Arabidopsis thaliana: one gene and its partners. The protein of the gene in region 1 interacts with the protein of each later gene in a pairwise test. Each region holds a gene or a part of one and is shown on either strand. Other genes may lie near its edges.

Evidence for each region.
Region 2: the proteins of AT5G27880 (region 1) and AT1G22810 interact in a two-hybrid assay, tested with the Arabidopsis thaliana proteins (one large-scale study listed by BioGRID).
Region 3: the proteins of AT5G27880 (region 1) and AT2G18090 interact in a two-hybrid assay, tested with the Arabidopsis thaliana proteins (one large-scale study listed by BioGRID).

The regions. Positions count from the first base shown.
Region 1 is NC_003076.8:9,883,902-9,887,474, forward strand, and holds AT5G27880 (C2H2 and C2HC zinc fingers superfamily protein), read left to right. Parts: upstream 1-1,971; 5' UTR 1,972-2,006; coding exon 2,007-2,843; 3' UTR 2,844-2,941; downstream 2,942-3,573.
Region 2 is NC_003070.9:8,073,650-8,076,906, reverse strand, and holds AT1G22810 (Integrase-type DNA-binding superfamily protein), read left to right. Parts: upstream 1-1,869; 5' UTR 1,870-1,937; coding exon 1,938-2,372; 3' UTR 2,373-2,676; downstream 2,677-3,257. Other genes in the region: AT1G22800 (S-adenosyl-L-methionine-dependent methyltransferases superfamily protein), read right to left, coding at 2,868-2,981, 3,157-3,257.
Region 3 is NC_003071.7:7,862,360-7,868,323, reverse strand, and holds AT2G18090 (PHD finger family protein / SWIB complex BAF60b domain-containing protein / GYF domain-containing protein), read right to left. Parts: upstream 4,131-5,964; 5' UTR 3,824-4,130; coding exon 3,534-3,823; intron 3,421-3,533; coding exon 3,341-3,420; intron 3,265-3,340; coding exon 3,077-3,264; intron 2,924-3,076; coding exon 1,007-2,923; 3' UTR 504-1,006; downstream 1-503. Other genes in the region: AT2G18100 (transmembrane/coiled-coil protein (DUF726)), read right to left, coding at 1-81, 175-395.

The DNA of each region.
Region 1 (3,573 bases):
ATATGGACACTTTCTCGAGAAAGTATTTTAGAAGTCATTATTTTTTGATTTTTTGTTTTAAACTTCTAAATGGACATCTTTCACATTTAAACAAACAAGAAATTTATATATTTCACGATAATAATTAATTCTAATTTTATATATAGATATGCAGCATTTCTAATATATATATATATATATATATATAGAGAGAGAGAGAGAGTCATTAGTTTTTCGATTTTTTGTTCTAAACTTCTAATTATGTGAAAATAGAAAATGATAATTTCACAATAGTAACCGAAAGAAAAATTTGGTATATTGGAGCAAAGGTCAAGTAAAGAGGAAAATAGAAAATTAATGGTTGCTAGATATATAAAGCTTAAATATATAATGTATTTCGATAAAACTATCTTATAAGTATTATAAAACAGATTAATGAAACCACTTACAATCTTTAGAAATAATGGACGACATAAGATTTCTCAAATATATTTAAAAAATCTCTTCCTAATAGGTAGAAACAATTTGTTTCACTGAAAAAAAAAACTCCCCTTAGTTTTTTTTTTGATCATCTTCGTATTTAAGCTTAAATAGAATCATCTCAGATTAAATTATTTACAGACTTACAATTTGAAAAATTATAAAATGTTGAATGTAACTTGAATATTTTGTGGGAATACGTCAGCATTCATGAATGTATCTTGGATATATTTTACCATATAGTTCAGTAGTCTCATTTAAGAAAAAAAATAACACTTAAGCTATTCAAGCTTTCTTTTTATGAATATATATATCTGAAAATATCTATATATATATAAGGAAAACAATTGTTATTCTTTACAGTTCATAGACCATTTTTTGTCATTCTATTTCTTTTTTGGGTATTTTTCTCCCAATCAAAACAAAGAAAGTAAAAAATTTGATTACTACGGAAAAACTAATTAAAGAAATCTCGTATTTTTATTTCTAGTTTTTAGTAATGAGAAAAAACAACTGTAGTCAATCACAAGCTGTCTAAGTTAAATGTTTATAAAACACCTTCCAAAGTAATATTTCCATATAGTAGAAATATAGAATGCAATTCCTTTGTATTTGCAATGACTAATTATTTTCTATAAAAATAGTGAAGAATAACATCATCCTTCCATAGTAGTTAAAGATGCTACTTTGACTACAGTTGGTTTATTAATTATTATTTATTTTAATTATTATATATTTTTACACAAAAAGAAAATAAAAGATTTCATAGAAAATTTAGTAGTTTGTAACAGTAGTTCAAACGAGTTTTGTGCACTATTTCTTGTAACACTAAAATATCAATTTCTTTAACAAGATGGTTAGAAAAATAGACTATTAAAGTACTGTTCGGTAGTAATTTTTGTAATTGCAAGGACATGTAAAAACGTCATAGTAATATCAATTATATTATAGAAATATAACCAAAATAATAAACTATGTTGGTACAAATTTCACATTTTTACTATTTTGGATTATTAAATATATAAAAATTTAAAAATATGAATTTAATTTGATATACAGAACATAAAAAAAAAACTGAAATGCAATATATTCGTATGTATAAACAAAACATAAAAATTAAAATGAAATGCAATATATTCGAGTATATAAAAAAATACCTAGTTATATAATATTATAAGTTACATATTCCACATAAAGTGTTATATTGAGAGTCAGAAAAAAATAAAGAATTGTTACAGAAACAACCATAAACTTCAAAACTATGGATTCATAGTAGTTGTACATTTATTACTTAATTACATAAAATTCACACAAGCATATCATTTTGCAAGTCAAGTAAAATCAACATAGTTAAAGAAACAGCCAGATATGAACTCATAGTAGTTGTGATTTTAATTAATTAAACCCTTGGAGATTTTATACCATAATAGTTAACGAACATTAAGGTTACCTTCTCAATAAATAGCATCCTCATTTCTCCGAATCTATCACAAAGAGATAAAGATCACTTAACAAAGAAAAAAAAGATTTGTTACAGAGAACCAGCTATGTCTTCTTCAATGTCTTCTGCAGGCTCTTCCACACCCAAATCCAAAAAGCTCAAAGGCATTGTTGTGGACATGGAGAAGTCGAAAGAGAAGGCAACAAGGAACACTATTCTGAAACTAGGTTCTCCTCAAGAGGTTACCTCTGAAAGGAGGATTGAGAACTCTAGTTTTGGATCTAGTGCTGTCCGAAGAGGAAGAGAGATCATGAAGTTTTACCCGTCAAAATCAAACAAGATCTACACTTGTCATTTTTGCAAAAAAGGTTTCTCAACCTCTCAAGCCTTAGGTGGTCACCAGAACGCGCACAAGCAAGAGCGGGAGTGGGACAAAAAGCGGAAGGAGATGGAAGCTGAGTATCCTGGACTCTCCTTTTTGAACCCTTTCCTTGATAAGCCTCACATTCTCTTAGGTGGTTATTCACAAGATGCTTTATCAAATGAAAATCATCTTGGGATCACTCTTGATCCTTTTAAACGCTTAATTTACCCATCTTTCAATGCGGGTATGAACATGGCTGTAGTTCCTCGTGTCACTCCTACTCGCTTCTTCACCGGGAACACTAGTACCAATGGTTCTACTTCAAGGGTCCCTGATCCTTTACCATCCTACAACAACCTTTACCCATCAAACTCTAGAAACGTTCTTCCTTTTCCTCCTCCTCAAACCACCAAGCTTTCTAGCAATTTCGTCTCGCAAGGAAACGTTTTAAGCGAAGAGAATTTCATCTCAAAGATTGGAACAAACAATATTGTGGAGATTGATGATGATGATGATGATATTCAGCCAGAAGAAGAAAAAACTAAAAGCGGGAGAATTGATTTATCTTTATCCCTTTGAGTATCTTTTTTTAGTTCTAAGCGTTATTTAAGTTTTCATTTCAGAGGTTTCATAGTTATTAGAGATCTCTATTCACCACAGTTCTATATGAAGATTGTTTTGTCCTTTTTAAGTTATTGAATTTCATTTTGAATGTTCATTTGTTTTTGTCATCTCCTCTTCTATTCACATGTAATTGTGTTTTAGTTATTTCCCCAAAACACAAAATTCTTACTCCGATGTCTACATTAAAACCTCCATTTATTAGTAATGTCGGAACCCTGAAATTCTATTAATTTATAAAGGTATTAATCTTTTTGATAAACTTTATATAGGTGTTTATTTTCATATTTTTTGAACATTCCTATTTATAATTAAGAAGTTTTTGTTATAACCAATTTTAGAGTTTAGAAAGAATCCTTGCTACTGTCCTTAATTGTGATAATGCAGTCGAAGACAATATTACATTACCTTTAAAATTAAACATTTACACGTAAAAATAGTTATTGCGTCTAAAAAATCTTTCACAATTTTTGTATGCAATTCGAATAGATATCACCATAGTTTTTGATATATAATAAGAAAGACTGAAGAGGAGATCCAATAAGAATGGAAATTCATGAATAAGTCAACAAAACTAGAGTCATATATATATATATATAATTATTAGTTTACAATATTGGTTAGACGATATATTTACAATTTTTTTTTATATAATTATAATCTTATTTCTTTATCAATTTGTATCATT
Region 2 (3,257 bases), on another chromosome or scaffold:
ATATGATGGCAACGAATGGATTTTGATTATTGTTCCAAGACTAGTTTGATCCATCAAAGCGAAAGTTCAAGCAATTTTGCTTCTCCGTCTGAAAGTCAAAGGAAGAAAGGTGAGAAAGATAAAAAAAAAGTTTCGTTGAGGAATTTCATCGAACATGTGGTGAGCGAAACATACCGTATACAGACGAAACATGGAAGTATAAGTACATCTAGAGAAACATAAAAGAGATAAGACAGATGTCATGTAGGAAGAAAAAGGAAAGAAGACAGTGATTCGGAGACAGTATCGACGGAACCGGACGAAGCGAAAGTAGGAGTAGCCGCGCGTGAAGGTTATGTAGAAAGAGACTCCTTTTTGACATTTATTCAATGTTCTGGCATGTGCTCAGATGATTTGGGCCGCTTGTTTAGATTTGTCCACTTCCAGACCCATTGCAATTGTAACCCATTTTAGCCCACTAAAATCTGACTGTAACAACTTTATAAATTTATGGTTTTTTCAAAATATTACCAAGGTTAAATAAATCGTGTTAGATGAAGTTGGCACCAGTTTTTGATATTACAAAATGAGGTCACTAGTATTTTTTTTATAAGAACTTATAATAAGTAATTTATTAATTGCATTATTTCATTAATATTGATTTTATATATACTGATACACTAGGGTTTTTATAAACATTTAAATTGTCTAAAATCGCATAGACCAACCGAGTAGGTGTGAATATTTATTGTCAGATATCAATAATCTGCTAGACGTTTCTAAAAACATCTCTAATCGTAACTTACCAAGTTACCTTTGAGGTTTCTTCTAAATGAGTCGGTGACTATGATAAGACGGTGTATCACATCACAATCAACTCCCAAATGTCAGTGTCGAGAAAAACCTAATCAAGTATCAACTACAAAGAATTGGTTATGCATCCGAAGGATGAAAACACATTAAATACATTATGAGACTGGGTTTCTCCGTGGATGATTCGTGTTTTGGATGTGGTTGTGTGTGAACTAAAATTTGACAACCATGTACATGAGTCAGCAGACACAGAAGAAGACAAAAAATAACTTTTTCCAGTTAGTTTGGGCTGTTGTGTCTGTGTGTTGTCCGTGGAGAATCATTAAGTCATTACAGATCTTTGGTCAAATGCCAAAAATAAAGGACCCCCTTTAGACGGTGCTCATGTCACGCATGACGCAATTTGTAACCAAAAAAGGCAAAGAAAGTCTTTCTTTATCCCACGTGGTTTAACCATCGACGACGACGTTTTCACATTCTTCATCGGTGGAGTTTGAATCGACTTTTGTGTTTTTCACTGCTTTTCTCTATACTATTATGTCATCACCTATTTTACAGATTTTTATGAAACGAAATAGAGGATATATAGTAGTATAAAATTCTAGATTTCGACTTAAGACTTTTTCATATAAAAAAAAATGAAAAACCTATAAATTAAGGTAACCTAACTATGATATACCAAAGCAACAACAACAAAAAATAAAGATTAATTTTCTATTTTAAAAAAACAAAAAATATCATTTATTTTGAAACCAAACAGAACGGTATATATACCACTTGTTTTATAGAAATGACTCTTACTTTCTAAATACATTGAATTTACTGTTAGACACAGCAAAAAAAAAAGTTACAACTTGAAAGAAAAAAAAATCGACTAGTCAGGCACATGTCAAATTGGTACCACTAAAAAAATGGGTCATACTTTGACCAGTTGATTTTTTCCTCGAGAATTAACTAGTTTTATAATTGGTCAACTTCATTCTCATTCTTGATTCATATTAAAAAATATTATATAATATTTTGACTTTCACTAAACTTCAACGTATAAATAGTCTTTGTATCTTCATATTCAAACATAAACAACACTCAAAAGTCTCTTCTTCTTCTTCTTCTTCTTCACATCGATCATCATACAACAACAAAAAATGGATTACAGAGAATCCACCGGTGAAAGTCAGTCAAAGTACAAAGGAATCCGTCGTCGGAAATGGGGCAAATGGGTATCAGAGATTAGAGTTCCGGGAACTCGTGACCGTCTCTGGTTAGGTTCATTCTCAACAGCAGAAGGTGCCGCCGTAGCACACGACGTTGCTTTCTTCTGTTTACACCAACCTGATTCTTTAGAATCTCTCAATTTCCCTCATTTGCTTAATCCTTCACTCGTTTCCAGAACTTCTCCGAGATCTATCCAGCAAGCTGCTTCTAACGCCGGCATGGCCATTGACGCCGGAATCGTCCACAGTACCAGCGTGAACTCTGGATGCGGAGATACGACGACGTATTACGAGAATGGAGCTGATCAAGTGGAGCCGTTGAATATTTCAGTGTATGATTATCTGGGCGGCCACGATCACGTTTGATTTATCTCGACGGTCATGATCACGTTTGATCTTCTTTTGAGTAAGATTTTGTACCATAATCAAAACAGGTGTGGTGCTAAAATCTTACTCAAAACAAGATTAGGTACCACAGAGAAACAATCAAATGGTTGTGAATATACATTATAAGGTTTTGATTAATGTTTGTTTCACTGATTTAGTGAAGTTTGGTCCATTGTATACAAATCTATTCAAGAAACCTAGCGCGAGATCATGTTTCGTGATTGAAGATTGAGATTTTTAAGTATTCGTAATATTTTTGTAAAATACAAATATGTTTCTGATCAGCTATTATTCGATACGAAATACATGGGCGAAAGCAGGCGTCCTAATTGTGATGCTTTCGCCCAGTGAAAGACTCCGACAAATCTACAAGAGTTCCTCCAAGTACCTTATAGCTTAAGTCACTGATTTCTCTCTCAAGTGTCATTTGTAAAGTCTCTGCTTATTGAATGTTTCTCTTCTTCAATCATTCCATCAAGATTGTCCGCCAAATTGCTTTTGGAGATCCGTGAAGGATACGGTGGCTGAACCTCTTCGTTTGGCCTGCGGGTGAGACGAATGTTCTCTCCATCCTGTCATGTAAATCACCTACACAAGAATGCCAAACGATATATACTTTAGGCCTCAAATGTTGTTAATTTCACTTGTAGTATTTAGCATAAAATTGTTTTAATCATGGATTGTAGCAAAACAACTTGAATAATGAAGCTAGGTTATGGGTTTTTTTCACTGTTGAGTTAGTTCTGAACTATTATGGACAGACCTGAAAAGTAGCGGGTATAGTGCCGTCCTCTGTGGCAAACATGGAGTCATATATGGCTGCCGTGGCAACAGCAGTTTCACGATTCAAAATCTTGTTTCTCT
Region 3 (5,964 bases), on another chromosome or scaffold:
GCACCGATGTGATCCTTAGCCTGAGTAGAAGCAGCTATCTCTTCAAGGCCATGCCAAGCTGATGAATCAATCTGAAGACATCTGAAAGCAAATTACAGAGACAGCTCAAAATGTATACATTACACACACAGAGACGCATATGAACATGACTATTCCAGATGATTTCAAGATCACCTGAGAACAGGACGGAGGAGGCCGGAAACTTCGTGGACCCAGAGATCCGCCTCATCGGAGATAGGATCACTGTCGCTGCTGATTGGCTCTCCGGTACTTCCGGTGGCCGGGATTCCCAATGGCTTTGACTGGCTGATCTGCGCTTGGTTAAGCGCGATTGCAAACAAAGCGCTTGCCGCGTATCTCTGCGACGGCGTCAAATTTGACGTAGCTTCCACCATCAACTCAGATCAACAAAAACGAAATCGAAGAAACAACAAAAAGTTTCCAAATCCAGAAACGATCAATAGAGTTCGTCTCATTTTCCAAAAACAAGTAGAATAAACTGGAGCCTACACTTGTCATGATATAAATAGATTTGAAACATTCAAAACAAAAAGAATGAAACGTTACACTATCATTATCATATATATAGAATAATAAGATGATATGATCCCTACAAATGTTTTGATTACATCCATGGACAACAATTTCTTCCCATTTTTATACTTGTTCCTAAGTACAAACAATGTAAAAAAAAAAGATACAGAAGTTGGGTATGTCTGTGCAAATCTTAACACAGGACAACGTTACAAAACCTAAATACTGAAGAAAACAATGGGTGCAGTCAAAAATACCGCGAAGAAACATCTTCTACATATGCACCACTCGTTTTTTTTCATTTTTGCTGATGATTCTGCCATTTATTTATGTTCTGTAATAATCCTGCAAAAAAAAAGAGAAGAAAGAGGGCATAGTCCACCATCGATCAGACGAATCTAGGACATTGGATGATCTATGGTAACCTGTGCCCCAGGTTATGATTTCTCTCTATGTGAACCCGAGCCCACGACTAAAAATGCACGGTGCTGTTAGATCGTGAATGCATTTGAAGATCGTTTGTGGAGCTCATGGAGTCACCTTTGCTTACATCTAGTGCTGGGCTATGTCCTTCTGCGGGACTGAAGCTATCGTTTATTGAGTGCCGGATTAATAATTCTTCAGGACCACGGAATGTCGAAGTTGGAGAAGGAAGACGTTTTTGGGACTCCATGGCTTCCACTTCTGCCAAAAGATCTGAGACTGATTCGTCGCATTCGTCAGGTCCAGCCACAATGGGTTGCCAATCAGTGGTAGTAGATGCAAAGTTGAATTTGAAAGTTGGACTAAAGAGATCTAAAAAGTCTATTTCTTGATTGTCTGGGAAAGACGTCAAACCCGAGTTCGAATCCCACACATTTGAAGCACTGCTTGGAGTTGCAGCATTCCAGTTCTGTCCACATGACTGGACTGTAGCCGTGACTTGTTTCTCAGCTGAGCCGCTAAGACTACCGTTTTGATTGCAAGCAGTCGTTGCTGCACTGTTTCCATCTGTCTGACCAGCACTCCATCTTTCATGTGGTGGCAGAGAGCAGTTTGAGTTTCTAGGTAATGTAGCCAGCGAGAGTGAACAGCTTATTGGGCTTTGTACAAGCAAAGAACTTTCAACTTTTCTTTTGTCCCAGAGAGAGATAAAACCCACAGTATCCCTTTCATTAGAAAGAGAAAAATCCAATGGCACGGCGTGGCTACAATTGTTTCCGCTTTTGTTACTCACATCCGAGCTCCTTGTGATGACACTGTTACTGCTAGAAATAACACTCTGGTCAGTGCACACTGAGTTGGGGCTGAAGTCAAGTATTCTACTCTCTATTTTAGGAACAGCCACAGACCTGTTTTGATCGTTAGCTATAGTAGCTGTCACTTCCTGCTTGGGGATAGAATGATTCTGTAATAACCCTGTTTTATGGAACTGCCCATTTAATGCGTCAGTCAAAAGTATGGAGCTGTGTTGCTGTTCACCCAACCTCCATATTCTCAGCTCTGGTGGGAAATGCCCGCTTGAATTCCATTGTCGCAGGTTATATAACGAAAATGGTCCATGAATCTTCCCATCTGGATCTCCATATAACCATACCATATTTGTATCCAAACCATCAATTGGCTTATTGGACAGAGTGGCACTTGTGTCAGGTTTTACAACTGCATGGTTTCTGCTATCAGAACTGGAAGGTCTAACTTGAATACTGTGCCCGTTCAATTGCTGTGATTCCCCTTCTTGATGCTGTTCAGATGTATTTAACCTATCACAGCTTCTGCCCGCATTAACCTGGTAAGACATAGTTTCAGTGACTCCTCCGGCTGAATTATCTGTGACTGGAGACCTAACTTGATCGATGAAGTGAGAATCAAGAAGCTTTAACATTTCCAAGTTGTCCACTCGCTCCTTTCCAAACAATCTCATAAGCTTGGAGTCACACATTATTTCAGAATTCTGAGGAGAGTTTTGTAGATTATTCCGTCTCACATACTCTAGCACGAGAGTTTGGACATCATACTTTGATAAGACAGAAATATCACCGTTTTTCATATACCCCACAAAGTCCAAAAGCTCATTGGTTGCCCAAGTAGCAGCACTAGTCAATTGTGGAAGTCTGTCACCCAAAGAACAGTTTGAATCCAAAGAAGGACCCAAATTACTCACAGAAACAGCATCCATTTTCCTTACTTTAGCACGACGTATTTTCATAACCCCAGGAGAATTTCCATCATCCTTTTCATGAACCCGACTAGTAGTTCTTCGCTTAGCGGCAGTAGAAGAAGAAGATTTCCATGGATTTTTTGCTTTGGTAAGATCATCTAACGATAAACCTAGCTTTTCTTTAAGAGAAACCCAGTAAATCTTAAAAAGATACTCCCAGCTGCCTTGATCATCAAAATCAACCTGAACCTAGAAAATGTACATGTAATACATTTAGCTAGAAGAAAGAATCCACATTAAAAAAACAAAGCGACATTACAAGAACAGACCTCAAGTTCCACAAATAACCTTGTAGTACTGCGAGTAAGAGAAAGTAACAAAATGTAGACAGGATTCTCATACCTTTTCTTTGTTAGCTTCAGCTGCATTCTCAATAAGCATTATAGTCTTCATACAAATTCCACAGAATCCTTTGTTCTCCCTTACAACTACATACTCTGAGCTTCTAACACACCTCTTACAAACTGAATACGGACAAGTATAACACATGTAGAACGAATCCTTTTGACAAGTAGTACATATGTGCCAACCTGAAACCAAAAAACCATCCTCATCACTATGAACCATCTCAAAGAAGAGAAAACAGATAAAAATTGAACAACTTACCACAATTCCATTTAGATCTCGATCTGAAGAATGCTTCAGTACGCTTAACACAAGCTGGGTGATAAGCCTTTGGACATCCCCTGACAAATTAAGAAAGAATCATCATCAGTCACAAGTAAAAGTTTCTATTTTTACAAGTAGGAATGTAATGGAGCTGGGAGAGTAACTTGTCTAAGCTCAAAACTTCACTAACCTACGATCGCAGAGAACAAGACTACCACCATCGAAGCAAACAAAGCAAACATCTTCATCTTCTCTTCTCTTCCTCGAAATCGGAGGCGAAGAAGCTTTAGCTAAAATTCTCGGCGGACGACCACGTCTACCTCTCTTCTTCAAAGAATCGGAATCTTCTTCGTCTAACTTCACATCCGAATCTAACGGAACACCACCACCATCGAAGAATCCCGGAGGAGAAGAAGAAGAATCATCTAATTTAACATCGGAAACACAATGATCGACTCTCATAAGATCGATTTCCGGCATCGATTCGTTGTTGGCTCCTCGTGAAGCCAAAGAACACTTTTTTTTTGCTTCTCAGCTCAACAAAAAGACAAGAACGAGGAAGCGGAAGATCTGAGGTTTTAAAAAAAGAAGGGAAGGTGAAGCAATCGTGGAAACCCTAACCCTAGGGTTTGGAGGAGAATTGGGAATTGGAGAAGGGAGGGAGGAGGAGGTGGAGGAGATGGTGGCGTGTAAGGAGAGAAGACACAGTGGGCACATGGAAAATGGACTTACTCGTTACTCGCCAAAAGCAAGAGAGAGAGAGATGTGACAAGGCAGTGTTTGGTTGTCTGTCTCCTTTTTTTGACTTTCTAGAGAGAGAAAGAAACAACACGCTTTTTTTTTGTTGTCTAAACGCCGCGCATATGGCTGGTTCCACGTGGGCAAAGTTGAGGCTGGTGGGAGCCACTCGCGTCTTTTCCCATAAAATAAACTATTATTATTTTTAATTTTTATTATTTTTTTAACAGAGAATCTTGTTACCACTAAAAATATATATAGGTGACTAAGCTACAAGATGCAAAAAAATCACGAGGCATTAGAAAAAATTGATCTCTGAGTTAGAGGAGTATTTTCAAATTTATATTTTAAGTAATTTAAGATTCATAATGATTTATTAATTTTTAATATGATTTTAGGTAAATTTAGAGAAATTTATGATTTGTTGTAGTCTGGTTCCCCAAATTCTACATAAAAGAATTACATTTGTGTTTTTTAATTTTATCTAAAATTTTTTTCTAAAATTCTATAAGAAATTATTCAATTATATATTTTATAAAAAAAAACTTCAATTTTTCAAATATCTTAATCCTGTCTTTCTACATTGTCGTAAAAATTAGATAAACTATGGTTAAAATTAAAACACAAAATTTTACAAAATCTCTCATAATCAACTTCGACATCATACAAACATCAGAGAATTTCGCTATAATAAATTAGAATTCGTCAATTTAGGTTTTTTACTTTGACAATTTTAGAGTTTAGGTTTGATGATTTATAATTTTATTGAAGAACATCATGTTATTTTTGTTTACAATTTGTGTTGTATAAGTTTATATATCTTTTTCAATATAAATATAGTTTGTCCAATTTCATGATAATTTTTAAAAAGGGAAATTTGTATTAACATATTTGAAATTGAGGAATTTTTTCACTATACACCCTTAAAAACTAATGATATGAATATTTTCAATAATAGTGGAATTAAAATTATTATTCAAATTATTAGTTCAATAATATTTGATTTTAGAAGATTCTTAAAATATAATTGATTGACATAAAAATTTGTTATCGTAATATATATTATTTTAAATATTATTATTTTTGTATATTTATAAAAAAATTCCACAGCTCGAATTAAACTCTTAACCCCACCATTTGTTTATTTTTATTTGCGTCGATTTAGTGGGGGAGGCTTCGTGTCTTAGTCTAACACGGACTGTTATATTAATGTAATTTATTAGATATTATTTTTTGTTAAATAATAAAGTGGACCAAAGCGAAAATGAAATTGAACTACTTTTTTTTTTTCTTATGTGCAAGATGTCGTGGTCGTAGTTTCTTGCTTTGGTCTTCTACTCGCTACCTAACCATATATCTTATCTTTAATTCTCATTTCGAGATCTTCTTTCTCTTAAAAGAAAAAAAAAATCAGCTATTAATTAGTTGACAAACTTTTATATAAAATAAACGAAGTGGACATAACGATTCAAGACTCAATACTTTATTAAAGTTGCAATGATTTCTAGCAGGATAATGTTTTATAACTAAGATTAACTGATTTTTTAGAGTTTTGTTTCATTTTTTTTTTTATAACAATAATCTTTTCCAATAGTACAAAACGACACTTGCAAAACATGAGTGTTAAAGAAACACTATGAAGTGATAGAAGATAGACCTAATAATATTAATGCGTTCTGGTCTCTAGTCTCTAGTAAGCTTTTATAGGACAAATCCATGGTAAAAGGTCAAGATTTATACGTACAACCGACTAATCTTATAGTTGATATGTCGATCGACGACGAAAAAAGATGAACATGTCACGTTTAAATATTATATGTAGTGAGCTGAAATCAAATTATAGTACATAAAACAATGAAAAATCGATTGGTATATAATATATA